Linked DNA regions of Xenopus tropicalis. The protein of the gene in region 3 purifies or fractionates together with the protein of the main gene of each other region. This does not show direct contact. Links are inferred from orthologs where the notes say so. Each region holds a gene or a part of one and is shown on either strand. Other genes may lie near its edges. The genes, in order: p4ha2, cpsf1 and fip1l1.

Region 1 (3,652 bases), on a different chromosome or scaffold from region 3:
GAAGTCACCCAGTGACAAACAGTGCGCACCCTGGCTTAAATAGTGTGAGAATGGCAGCATTTTAAATTTAATTCAGTAAAATTCAGTGGATGAAATCTCATTGGCTGTTTCCTATTTTTAAACTGCGGTCCCCCAGTGACCAACTTTGCAAAGTTTGGGGACTCAGGCATACAAATTGTGGGACTGACAGCATTTTACACTTCACCATTGAAAGTAAATAGGTGAAATGTGATTGGCTGTTGGTGGCTCCGTCCATTTTTTTTCTAAATTTGAATGGCAAATACCTAGTGACTAACTTTGGAAAGTTTAACAACCCTGGAATTAATCTAAAATAATGGCATCAGTTTAAATATAAACCAATGAAATTTAATGGGTGGAAATGGATTGGCTGTTGGTGGCTCCGCCCACTTTTTCTAGTTCTGAAATAAATAGCATGAGAAAGGCAGCATTTTAAATTTAAACCAAAAATCCAATAGGTGAAGTCTGATTGGCTGTTAGTGGCTCCACCCACTTTTTAAAACCTAAAAATGCAGTCCCCTAGTAACCCTGGTGTTAATACTGTGAGAATGGCAGCAGGTTGAATTTCCCCAATGAAAATCAATAGTTAAAATCTGATTGGCTGTTGGTGGCTCCACCCACCTTTTCTAACTCTGAACCACAGTTATCTGGTGACTAGCTCTGCAAAGTTTGGGGACCTTAGTATTAATATTTTAAGAATGGCAGCAGTTTAAATGTAAATGTATGAAGTCTATAGTTGAAATCTGATTGGCTGTTGTTGGCCCCTCCCACTTTTCTAAGCTTGGAACGTACTTACCCAGTGACAAACTGTGCAAAGTTTGGGAACCCTGACATTAAACATGTGAGAATGGCAGCAGTTAAAATTTCCCCACTGAAAACAATGAAAGAAATGTGATTGGCTTTTGGTGGCCCCACCCACTTTTTCTAACCTTGAGTTCGTAATCACCCAGTGACTGACTGTGCAAAGCTTGGGAACCCTGCATCAAACCAATAAAATTTAATAGGTGAAATCTGATTGGCTGTTGGTGGCTCCACCCACTTTTTCAAAGCTGCAGTACCCTAGTGACCAACTAGGAAAAGTTTGGGGACCCTGGTGTTAATACTGTGAGAATGGCAGCAGGTTGCATTTCTGCAAAGTCAATAGGTAAAATCTGATTGGCTGTTCACAGCTCCGCCCACTTTAGGGCATCAAACAATCATCATATTTTCATTCAGGCTGACCCCATGACTATGTGATTCATGTTTGGGGAGTGTAGCCTATGTTTGTGCCCTTGGGCTTACTACATGTAATTATAGACCTATATGCAAGCACATATATTACTGGATTGTTTACCTTGTCTGTTTGCTAATTGGTTTATCTTTTATACTGCTTTTACAGAATCCACGAAGGCAAAGGAGACTTTTCTGTAGGTATCATAACGGAAACAGAAGTCCTTACCTTATCTTGAGTCCAGTTAAAGTGGAAGACGAATGGGATAGTCCACGTATTGTCAGATATCTTAATGCCTTATCTGATGAAGAAATTGCGAAAATAAAGGAACTGGCAAAACCAAAGGTAACTCATTTACTATTTGCTATAGAGATTTCCTTGTAGAAATTGTGAATTTTAAATTTGCCGTAGTCTAAGCAAGAAGTAAACTACTTAAGTGCTTTTTCCCAAACTGATCATTGTGCAAAGTGTGGAGCCCTTAACTGAACATTTGGGGTACCAAAATAAAGTCTAATTTTATTGCAGTCTGTCTTTTTTTTAACCAAACTGTCCTGAAAGCCAAAGATCCCCTTAAGGACAAAATGTATCTGCATATACATTTGTTTAATTTTACAGGGCTGTGGAGTCGGTAGATAAATTCTCCGACTCCTCAGTTTCTGATACTTCCGACTCCGACTCCTCTGTTTTTAATATGCTAATGTATTTTATACATTCATACAGTCAATGAAAAGCATGCTTCATGGTCACTCGTGTTCGTTTATGCACTGCGTGCATTGGGCTTTATTCTTATAGCAGAGAAGTAATTAATTATGACTGTTTGTGAATTGGGACATTTAAACTTGCTTTATTTATTTTTTTTTTATTCCCATTTAAACTTAGTAGGAGTCGGAGTCGGTTCATTTTTTGCCGACTCCGACTCCAGGTACCCAAAATTGCCTCCGACTCCTCGACTCCGACTCCACAGCCCTGTAATTTTATTCCGTATAGCCATACCTCCGCAGTGCACTAGTTTGACATAGTTAGGTCAGTATGATTAGTTGATCAGTTTTCTGCCAGTCAAGAATATGCTTTTATTTTAATTGTTCAGATCTATCCATTAGCCACCACATATATGCACCCTGCACACAGTCAAAATTAGGTTTATGCAAAGTTAATTGCAGATCTTCCTGTATATAAACACTAGGTCTATTTTTAGCCTAATTAAAGTGTGTTACATACTTGTTGGCCAGTGCATGGAGCGGTGACAGATGAGGAACTGAAGAGGATCTTATGAACATCCTATTTATTTCTTGCTATTCTGATCAGTCCTGCTCTCTGCACAAATGGTTGGTATAATATTGATAACAATAGAAAATCATCCATACTGTGTGTTGCCACTTATACACACACTGTCTTTTTGGCTGATATTGCTTGTATAACCTTAATTGAAGTCAGGCCTTTGAGTTAATGAGATTGGTGGTTGCACTGCTCTAGAAAAAAAAGGCTTTTTGAGACATGAGACATTCCTATGTCAAAAGTAATATCAGACAATCTTAGACAAAGAATTGTAGAGAGGCGGAAAACTGGAAAATGCTACTAATGCATCTCTAAAGGTCTGGGTCATCAACCCACAGCAGGATAAATTGTCTATAAATAGAGAACATTCAGTACATTTTAAACTCTCCCTAGGAGTCTTATAAAGATCATGGCAAAAGTACAACATGCGATTCTGAAGGAAGTGAAATAGGGCAACAGCAAATAAGCTGCAGAAATCTCTCTATTCTCCTTAAATAAAGTTTGCATTCATGTGTCCACCATAGAAAAACCCTAAACCAAAATATTTTATTGACTTAATGAGAAGAAAACTAAAGCCCTGGAATGGCCATTTACATAACCTAACCCAATTGGGACGCTCTACTATGATTTCAAGAGAGCTATTGATGATGGAATACCAGAAATATTAAAATGCTGAAACAGATTTGTAAAGAGCGGGGGTTCCCAACCTTTTTTATCTGTGAGCCACATTCAAATGTAAAAAGTGTTGTCAAGCATAAAATGTACCTGGGGGTACCAAATAGGGATTTTGATTTAGTTATCTGGTAGCCCCTATGACTGGTAGTCTACAGTAGACTAGACTATGTTAGGCAGTACATCTGTTTTTTATGCAACCAAAACTTGCCTTCAAGCCAGAAATGTAAAATAGGCACCTTTTTTGAGGCCACTGAGCAACATGTCAGCAGCTAGTAAAGGTTATTATACCTAAAGGTAGTTCTTATAGTTAGAACAAGGTACTTATTTAGTTCTGGACTAAAAGCTTTGGTTGTTTGTGTGTTCTAACCTAAAGTGGGAGTGTTTGTCTATGTTGTGACAGACCACAAATCTTTTAGTTATAACTGCAAAAACCAAGTGATCCCTAAGGTTTTAAAACATGTAATAGCAAATATA
Region 2 (3,652 bases), on a different chromosome or scaffold from region 3:
GAAAGAGGTTGGGCCATTTCTCCATGTCCTTCATCTAGTCTTCTGCCTTCTTGTACAGCCCTGTCTGTGATTGGCTGCCTCCTTAACTCCTCCCACCCTCCATCCCTTCTCTATAACTCCTCCCATCCTTCCATCCCTTCTCTATAACTCCTCCCGCCCTCCCACCTTCCATTGCTTCTCTGACTCCTCCGGCCCTCCCTTCCCTGTGACTCCTCCCACCCTCCATCCCTTCTCTCTGACTCCTCCCACCCTCCATCCCTTCTCTCTGACTCCTCCCACCCTCCATCCCTTCTCCATTACTCCTCCCTCACTCCTTTATTACTCCTCCCTCCTTTCTCTGTGACTCCTCCCACCCTCCCTTCTCTATGACTCCTCCCTCCCTTCTCTGTGACTCCTGTTCCAGTGTTTGCACAGTTGCCCCTCCTGCTCTCATTGTTGACTTGCAGCTGGTTGCCATGGGTTACTGCCCCGCCCCCTCACCTGGTCTCTGTGCTGTTTCAGACGAGCGCTACATCTCACCTGTGCAGGAAGCATTTTCAATTCAGCTGATTTCCCCGCTGAGATGGGAAACGATCCCCAACACCAGGTATTGTCCCCCCCCCCCCGGGCTGCTGTACAGTGTCATTCTATTGGCTATCATTGCTCTCAATTCTTGGCCCCTCCCTTCTCTCGTGGGGCTTTAGTTCCAGCCCTGACTGTGGGTTGGACAGAAGAGCTCACACTCTGCTCTCGGTTTCAGGATAGACCTGGAGGAGTGGGAACACGCCACATGTATGAAAACCGTGAGCCTGAAAAGTGAGGAGACGGTGTCGGGGCTGAAGGGGTACATTGCTGTGGGTACCTGCCTCATGCAGGGGGAGGAGGTGACCTGTAGGGGGAGGGTAAGTAGCAGGGAGAATATCTTCTATTCCTTGCCCCCTCTATCCTGCTTATACCCATGCCTCCTCCCTCCCCTCCCTTCCTCCTCCCTCCCTTCCTCCCCGCCTCCTCCCTCCCCGCCTCCTCCCTCCCCACCTCCTCCCTTCCCACCTCCCCGCCTCCTCCCTTACCACCTCCCCGCCTCCTCCCTTCCCACCTCCCCGCCTCCTCCCTTCCCACCTCCCCGCCTCCTCCCTCCCTCCCTCCCCGCCTCCTCCCTTCCCGCCTCCCCGCCTCCTCCCTTCCCACCTCCCCGCCTCCTCCCTTCCCACCTCCTTGCTTCCTTCCTCCCCGTCTCCTCCCTCCCTTCCTCCCCGCCTCCTCCCTTCCCACCTCCTTGCTTCCTTCCTCCCCGCCTCCTCCCTCCCTTCCTCCCCGCCTCCTCCCTTCCCACCTCCTTGCTTCCTTCCTCCCGCCTCCTCCCTCCCTTCCTCCCCGCCTCCTCCCTCCCTTCCTCCCCGCCTCCTCCCTTCCCACCTCCTTGCTTCCTTCCTCCCCGCCTCCTCCCTCCCTTCCTCCCCGCCTCCTCCCTTCCACCTCCTTGCTTCCTTCCTCCCCGCCTCCTCCCTCCCCGCCTCCTCCCTTCCCACCTCCCCGCCTCCTCCCTTCCCACCTCCCCGCCTCCTCCCTTCCCACCTCCCCGCCTCCTCCCTCCCTCCTTCCTCGCTGCCTCTTTGCTTAGCCCCCCCGTTCCCTCCCCCCTCACAGTGGAACTTCCTGCCCCCCCAGATTCTCATTATGGATATAATTGAAGTGGTTCCGGAGCCGGGGCAGCCGCTCACAAAGAACAAGTTCAAGGTTCTGTATGAAAAGGAGCAGAAAGGACCAGTCACCGCCCTGTGTCACTGCAACGGGTATTTAGTGACTGCAATAGGGCAGAAGGTAAGTCAAGAAGGGGCAGAATCCCCCAAATAGGATCTGGCTCTGTAGAGAGGCACAGGAGTGGGCGGGGCTCACACTGGTTGGCTGTGCCAGTAGAGAGGCACAGGAGTGGGCAGGGCTGACACTGGCTGGCTGTGCCAGTAGAGAGGCACTGGAGTGGGAGGGGCTCACCCTGGTTGGCTGTGCCAGTAGAGAGGCACAGGAGTGGGCGGGGCTGACACTGGTTGGCTGTGCCAGTAGAGAGGCACAGGAGTGGGCGGGGCTGACACTGGTTGGCTGTGCCAGTAGAGAGGCACAGGAGTGGGCGGGGCTGACACTGGTTGGCTGTGCCAGTAGAGAGGCACAGGAGTGGGCGGGGCTGACACTGGTTGGCTGTGCCAGTAGAGAGGCACAGGAGTGGGCGGGGCTGACACTGGTTGGCTGTGCCAGTAGAGAGGCACAGGAGTGGGCAGGGCTGACACTGGTTGGCTGTGCCAGTGGAGAGGCACAGGAGTGGGCGGGGCTGACACTGGTTGGCTGTGCCAGTAGAGAGGCACAGGAGTGGGCGGGGCTGACAGTGCTTTGTGTTGGCAGATCTTCCTGTGGAGCCTAAAGGACAACGACCTGACGGGAATGGCGTTCATAGACACTCAGCTCTACATCCATCAGATGATCAGCGTCAAGAACTTCATCCTGGCGGCGGATCTAATGAAGAGCATCTCGTTACTGCGCTACCAGGAGGAGAGCAAGACCCTGTCCCTCGTTAGCAGGGTGAGTTACGCCTGGCTGCCAGTAATGGGGCACTTACCCCTGGGGCAAACGGGGCAACTCAGCCAATCATAGAGGCGCATCCCTGCTCTGTAGGGAAACTGCCCTGGGTTGGTACCCACAGGGACTCGGGGGTAACATGTTGCTCCCAGTGCCCCCAGAGCAGGGGCTTAGTTTGAATTGATAAGGAGGCATTAAGGGCATGGGTGCCTCCCATAGGCTGCCTGTACATATAGGGGCTCCCACATAGCCAATCACAGCCCTTAGTGGCACCCCAGGTACCTCATGCTTGTCTTGCGCCCCAACTTCTGTTTCTATAATTCAGTGTTAGAGGTTACAAGGGTTGGGGGGCAGTAACTGAGACCAATGATATGGGTGCGGCTCCCTGACTGCCCCATAACCATCATTATTGCCCCTAAACCATCATTATTGCCCCTACACCATCATTATTGCCCCATAACCATCATTATTGCCCCATAACCATCATTATTGCCCCATAACCATCATTATTGCCCCATAACCATCATTATTGCCCCGGCAGGATGTGAAGCCGCTGGAAGTTTACAGTGTGGAGTTTCTTGTGGATAATAACCAGCTCGGCTTCCTGGGTGAGTACAACCTGCACCCCCTTGTCTGGCCCATATTCTTCTCTCTCCCCCGAGGGGTCTCTAATCCTTATGTTCTGCCTTTCAGTTTCAGATCGGGACAGAAACCTTATCTTGTACATGTACCTTCCTGCAGGTAAGTGCCCCTGTGTGCCGCCCTACTCCCCTTCCCTTGCCCCTGTGTGCCGCCCTACTCCCCTTCCCTTGCCCCTGTGTGCCGCCCTACTCCCCTCCCCTTGCCCCTGTGTGCCGCCCTACTCCCCTCCCCTTCCCTTGCCCCTGTGTGCCGCCCTACTCCCCTTCCCTTCCCTTGCCCCTGTGTGCCGCCCTACTCCCCTCCCCTTCCCTTGCCCCTGTGTGCCGCCCTACTCCCCTCCCCTTCCCTTGCCCCTGTGTGCCGCCCTACTCCCCTCCCCTTCCCTTGCCCCTGTGTGCCGCCCTACTCCCCTTCCCTTGCCCCTGTGTGCCCCTCCTGCCCCGCGCTACACACAGGGGGTAAC
Region 3 (3,652 bases):
GCTTAACTGCAGTAAAAAACTCCACATGTACCTCCTCTACAACCCCATGCCCTTAACGGCCCTGCTCCTTCCCTGCACCACCTGTTCCTCTGACAAGTGTTACTATCTTTTTATTTGTTTTCAAAATTCAGAGTTGTGCAGTGGTGTTAACAGGCACCTACCTGGACCTGGTTTCAACTGCGCATGCTCTGTCAGCAGTTGCACAAGTGGTGTGAGATGGTGCCTGTTAGACCTGCTGCACAGCTTGTCATGGGAACAGGTAGTGTGGGGAAGGGGGCCTTGAGACCTTTGTTTTAGCACTACATGACATGAGCATAAAAAGAAAGAATAAACTCTTCAAAGCAAGGAAACCAATTGCCAGAGTTTTGACCTTTAAGTGGTTGTAAAGTAAAAAAATAGAAGTCTTGTTTGCAGGTTCCATTAAAAAAATAAAACTATACTTTGTAAACATTCATTAATAAAAATTTGTACCGTTATAGAAAAAAAAAAAAAAGTTCTACCTACAGCCCCTCCCCACAATATCCTTTGCTCCACTTGTCTACCCAATGCATAAATGTTTAGATGGCAACTGGCTGCACATCTCTGAAAACCATCAGATGTTTTGTATTCTGGATGTCAGGAAAGTAGTGCAGGGTTGTTTTATGTGTTTGCTTCTCACTCACACTGCTTTCCTGTCATCAAAAACAATCCTGCACACTGCTTTCCTGCCATCCTGAACATGGAGTAGTTTTATAGCATTCCAGCAGCTCTTTAAAGATTTATAGGTTGAGTAATCAGAGGTAGTGAGAGCTTTATTTGTTAAAGAGGAAACTGTAAACAGACTATTCATTTTTGTCTTACAACCCTTTTAATTGTATCCCTTTATGCTGTAAAAAATAAGGCATTTGTAAGTATAACTACCAGTGTTTACCCCCTTTAATTGATGGCTGTATTTTGAAGGGATACTGTCATGGTTTTTATGGTATACCTTTTTATTTCTATCAAATAATTTACTGTACCATTTTCAAATTTCTTGAATTTCTTGAACCAACAAATGTATTTTTTTAGTTGAAATATTGATGTGTAGGTACCATCTCAGTGCATTGTGCCTGAGACTGAGCTTTCAGAAGGAGCCAGCGCTACACATTAGAACTGCTTTCAGGTAACCTATTGTTTCTCCTACTCCCATGTAACTGGAGGAGTCCCAAGCTGGACTTGGATTTCTTAGTATTGAGTGAATGAAGTTTATAAAAGCCCAGGTCACATGCCTGTGGCACCCTGGGAAATGAAAAATATGGCTAGCCCCATGTGAAATTTCAAAATAAAATGTAAAAAAAAAATCTGTATTTTTGAAAAACTGATTTCAATGCAGGATTCTGCTGGAGAATCTTTCCCGTGACAGTATTCCTTTAATTCACACAGAAATTCCACAGTAAGTGGAGGGCACACTAGTAAACAGCACAAAAATATAGAAATTTCTTGATGTTTTCTGTAAAGAGATTTCCTTTTGGCAATAACTCAGATTGGAGATCTTTTTGAGTGCAGACCCATTTCATGAAAATTGTATTTTGGTTCACTGCCTGGTGTTCCCCTGTGCAATCACTTGCTTAGCTGAATATTGCTGTTTTGGTTGAAAACTTAAAGGGGATATTAACGCTAGCAACTAGGCAGTGGGGTTACTAGGTATGCTGAACAATAAGAGAAGAAAACAATGCTAATGAACAACAAATTGCACATTCTAGGGATGGGTGTCTTAGGTGATATACCTTGAGCATTCTTACATGAGCAAATACCAAAGGCTTTGTGTTTCTTTTTGTGCAGAAGAAAATGAAGCTGCTGCACCAGATGATGATGAAGAAGACATAACAAGGTTTGTAGAGTTTGTATTGCTTCTGTGGAGAGGTTTTTAGATATCTAGGTTTCAGGTGTCCCTCTTTGTACTGCAAGAATATAGATATGCACAGCTACCATCATAAGTTAGCCTGCTTTAGTTTAGTGTTAAGGATGGGATAAAACATTTAATTTAAAAGTTTGCCCTATTCATTTACTTGAAGTTTAAGTATTTTATTTAATCCACAGCTCTCACCCTGTACCTGGAATCGAAGCAGAGGCTACTGAGAATGGTGTTGTGAAAACGGTAACATTCCAGTTATTGTTACTATAGAGAAGGGATATTGAACTTGTGTGAAGTATGTCTCCCAGGATTCTTGAATTGTACTTTTTTTACAGCTGTTCTACAATAGAGAATATGACATTAAAATGATGTATTAAAATGCACATTTAACTTTGTTTGTTTTACATGGTACAATAAAAACATTTATTTAATGGGTTAAAATTTTGTGCATAATTTGTTGAATTTCTGTTTTTGTAAATGGTTCTTTGTTTAGTAGCTGGTGGGTTTACTGGAGCTTTGTTATCCTTTTGTAATATTGTCATATAACCTAATAGCAGACTATCTCTTGTTAACTTTCATGGGAATTGCCTTATGCCTTTTTATGCCAGGCTTCAGGGGGCTCTCCAACTGAAAGGTGCTGCTATGACTATCAGTCTTAAATTAGCAAGTTGTTGGCACTTGGAGTAACTGACATACAAGGGTTTTAAACCCCCAAAATTTAATTGATGTACAGTTACTCAGGGTAATGCAATTTGCATTGATTTTCTATTTTGAGATTTTAATTTTAAGACTTCTAATACCAGGCTTTTGTCTTAACAGAGGCTCCACAGCCCCAAGGGTTAACGGAATATAGAAAGTGCATAGACAGGGTTGCTTACACTCAGGGCTTCAAAATATATATATAACCGGTAAAATCTTAAAACCTCTAAAAATAGAAAATTAATATAAATCGCAGAAGTGCTCAGAGGGCTACTTTTAGTATGTTCACAAATATTCATTTTTAGTTTAGTTCCCATTTCACAGCTTCCAAACCACACGGGCATCAGAAGCATTTGCTCTCCTATGTATGTGTATATAATGCAATCTAATCCCAAAAGTAGTTTGCAGATTTGCCTGCTTTCTTTGCTCACTATTCCAGCAACTGTTTTGTCTGTCTTCCCCATTCTAAGAGCACCCCCGGAGGAAATATCATTCACACTTGTGCTGGCTGAGGTAACCCCCATTGAGCCCCAGTTTAATAACTTATTAATAAAGATGAAACTGCCCTGACCCAGACTGTAGCTACCATATGCCAGCACAAAACAGCATGTACTTGTCGGACTCCAGGACAGTGGATAAAATTTTTTATTTAAGATAAAAACCTTTAGCTACCATATGGTTATAAATTTGCATAATGTTCAGTAACTTCTAGCAACCAATTGGCAGGTAGCAGTTTAAAAAAAAAACAAAAAAACATCTAATTGCTTTCTATTATTACTATACTCCCAAACAGGCTCCCCCCACCTACATGACCTCATTCTAATTTAAATGTATCACATGGTATAACTGAAACAGTGATAGTGGAAGAGCCCTGGAAATGAGAAGTGTTGCATATGACAAATATTTTTGTCTTTTTCACTTTTCCCCTTCTAGGGTAAGAGCTGGTACATTTTCTGTGCTTGACCTATCATTCTTGCATTACTTATAGTAGGAATATCAAAATACAAAGTATTTAAATTTGTCTGAAAACTATGTATGATGTTGTGTAAAGTACTGTAGCTTTGTAAAAAATATTTTTCT

Evidence for each region.
Region 1: the proteins of fip1l1 (region 3) and p4ha2 purify together in Homo sapiens (co-immunoprecipitation; 3 studies listed by BioGRID and IntAct, with this or other methods). This does not show direct contact. The link is inferred for Xenopus tropicalis from reciprocal best matches to the Homo sapiens genes FIP1L1 and P4HA2.
Region 2: the proteins of fip1l1 (region 3) and cpsf1 fractionate together in Homo sapiens (co-fractionation; 8 studies listed by BioGRID and IntAct, with this or other methods). This does not show direct contact. The link is inferred for Xenopus tropicalis from reciprocal best matches to the Homo sapiens genes FIP1L1 and CPSF1.

The regions. Positions count from the first base shown.
Region 1 is NC_030679.2:36,754,441-36,758,092, forward strand, and holds part of p4ha2 (prolyl 4-hydroxylase subunit alpha-2 precursor), read left to right. Parts: intron 1-1,396; coding exon 1,397-1,573; intron 1,574-3,652. UniProt on the Homo sapiens protein: Catalyzes the post-translational formation of 4-hydroxyproline in -Xaa-Pro-Gly- sequences in collagens and other proteins.
Region 2 is NC_030682.2:153,938,589-153,942,240, reverse strand, and holds part of cpsf1 (cleavage and polyadenylation specificity factor subunit 1), read left to right. Parts: coding exon 1-7; intron 8-501; coding exon 502-586; intron 587-739; coding exon 740-881; intron 882-1,647; coding exon 1,648-1,800; intron 1,801-2,373; coding exon 2,374-2,550; intron 2,551-3,088; coding exon 3,089-3,155; intron 3,156-3,240; coding exon 3,241-3,288; intron 3,289-3,652. UniProt on the Homo sapiens protein: Component of the cleavage and polyadenylation specificity factor (CPSF) complex that plays a key role in pre-mRNA 3'-end formation, recognizing the AAUAAA signal sequence and interacting with poly(A) polymerase and other factors to bring about cleavage and poly(A) addition.
Region 3 is NC_030677.2:39,662,052-39,665,703, forward strand, and holds part of fip1l1 (pre-mRNA 3'-end-processing factor FIP1), read left to right. Parts: intron 1-1,800; coding exon 1,801-1,849; intron 1,850-2,058; coding exon 2,059-2,116; intron 2,117-3,652.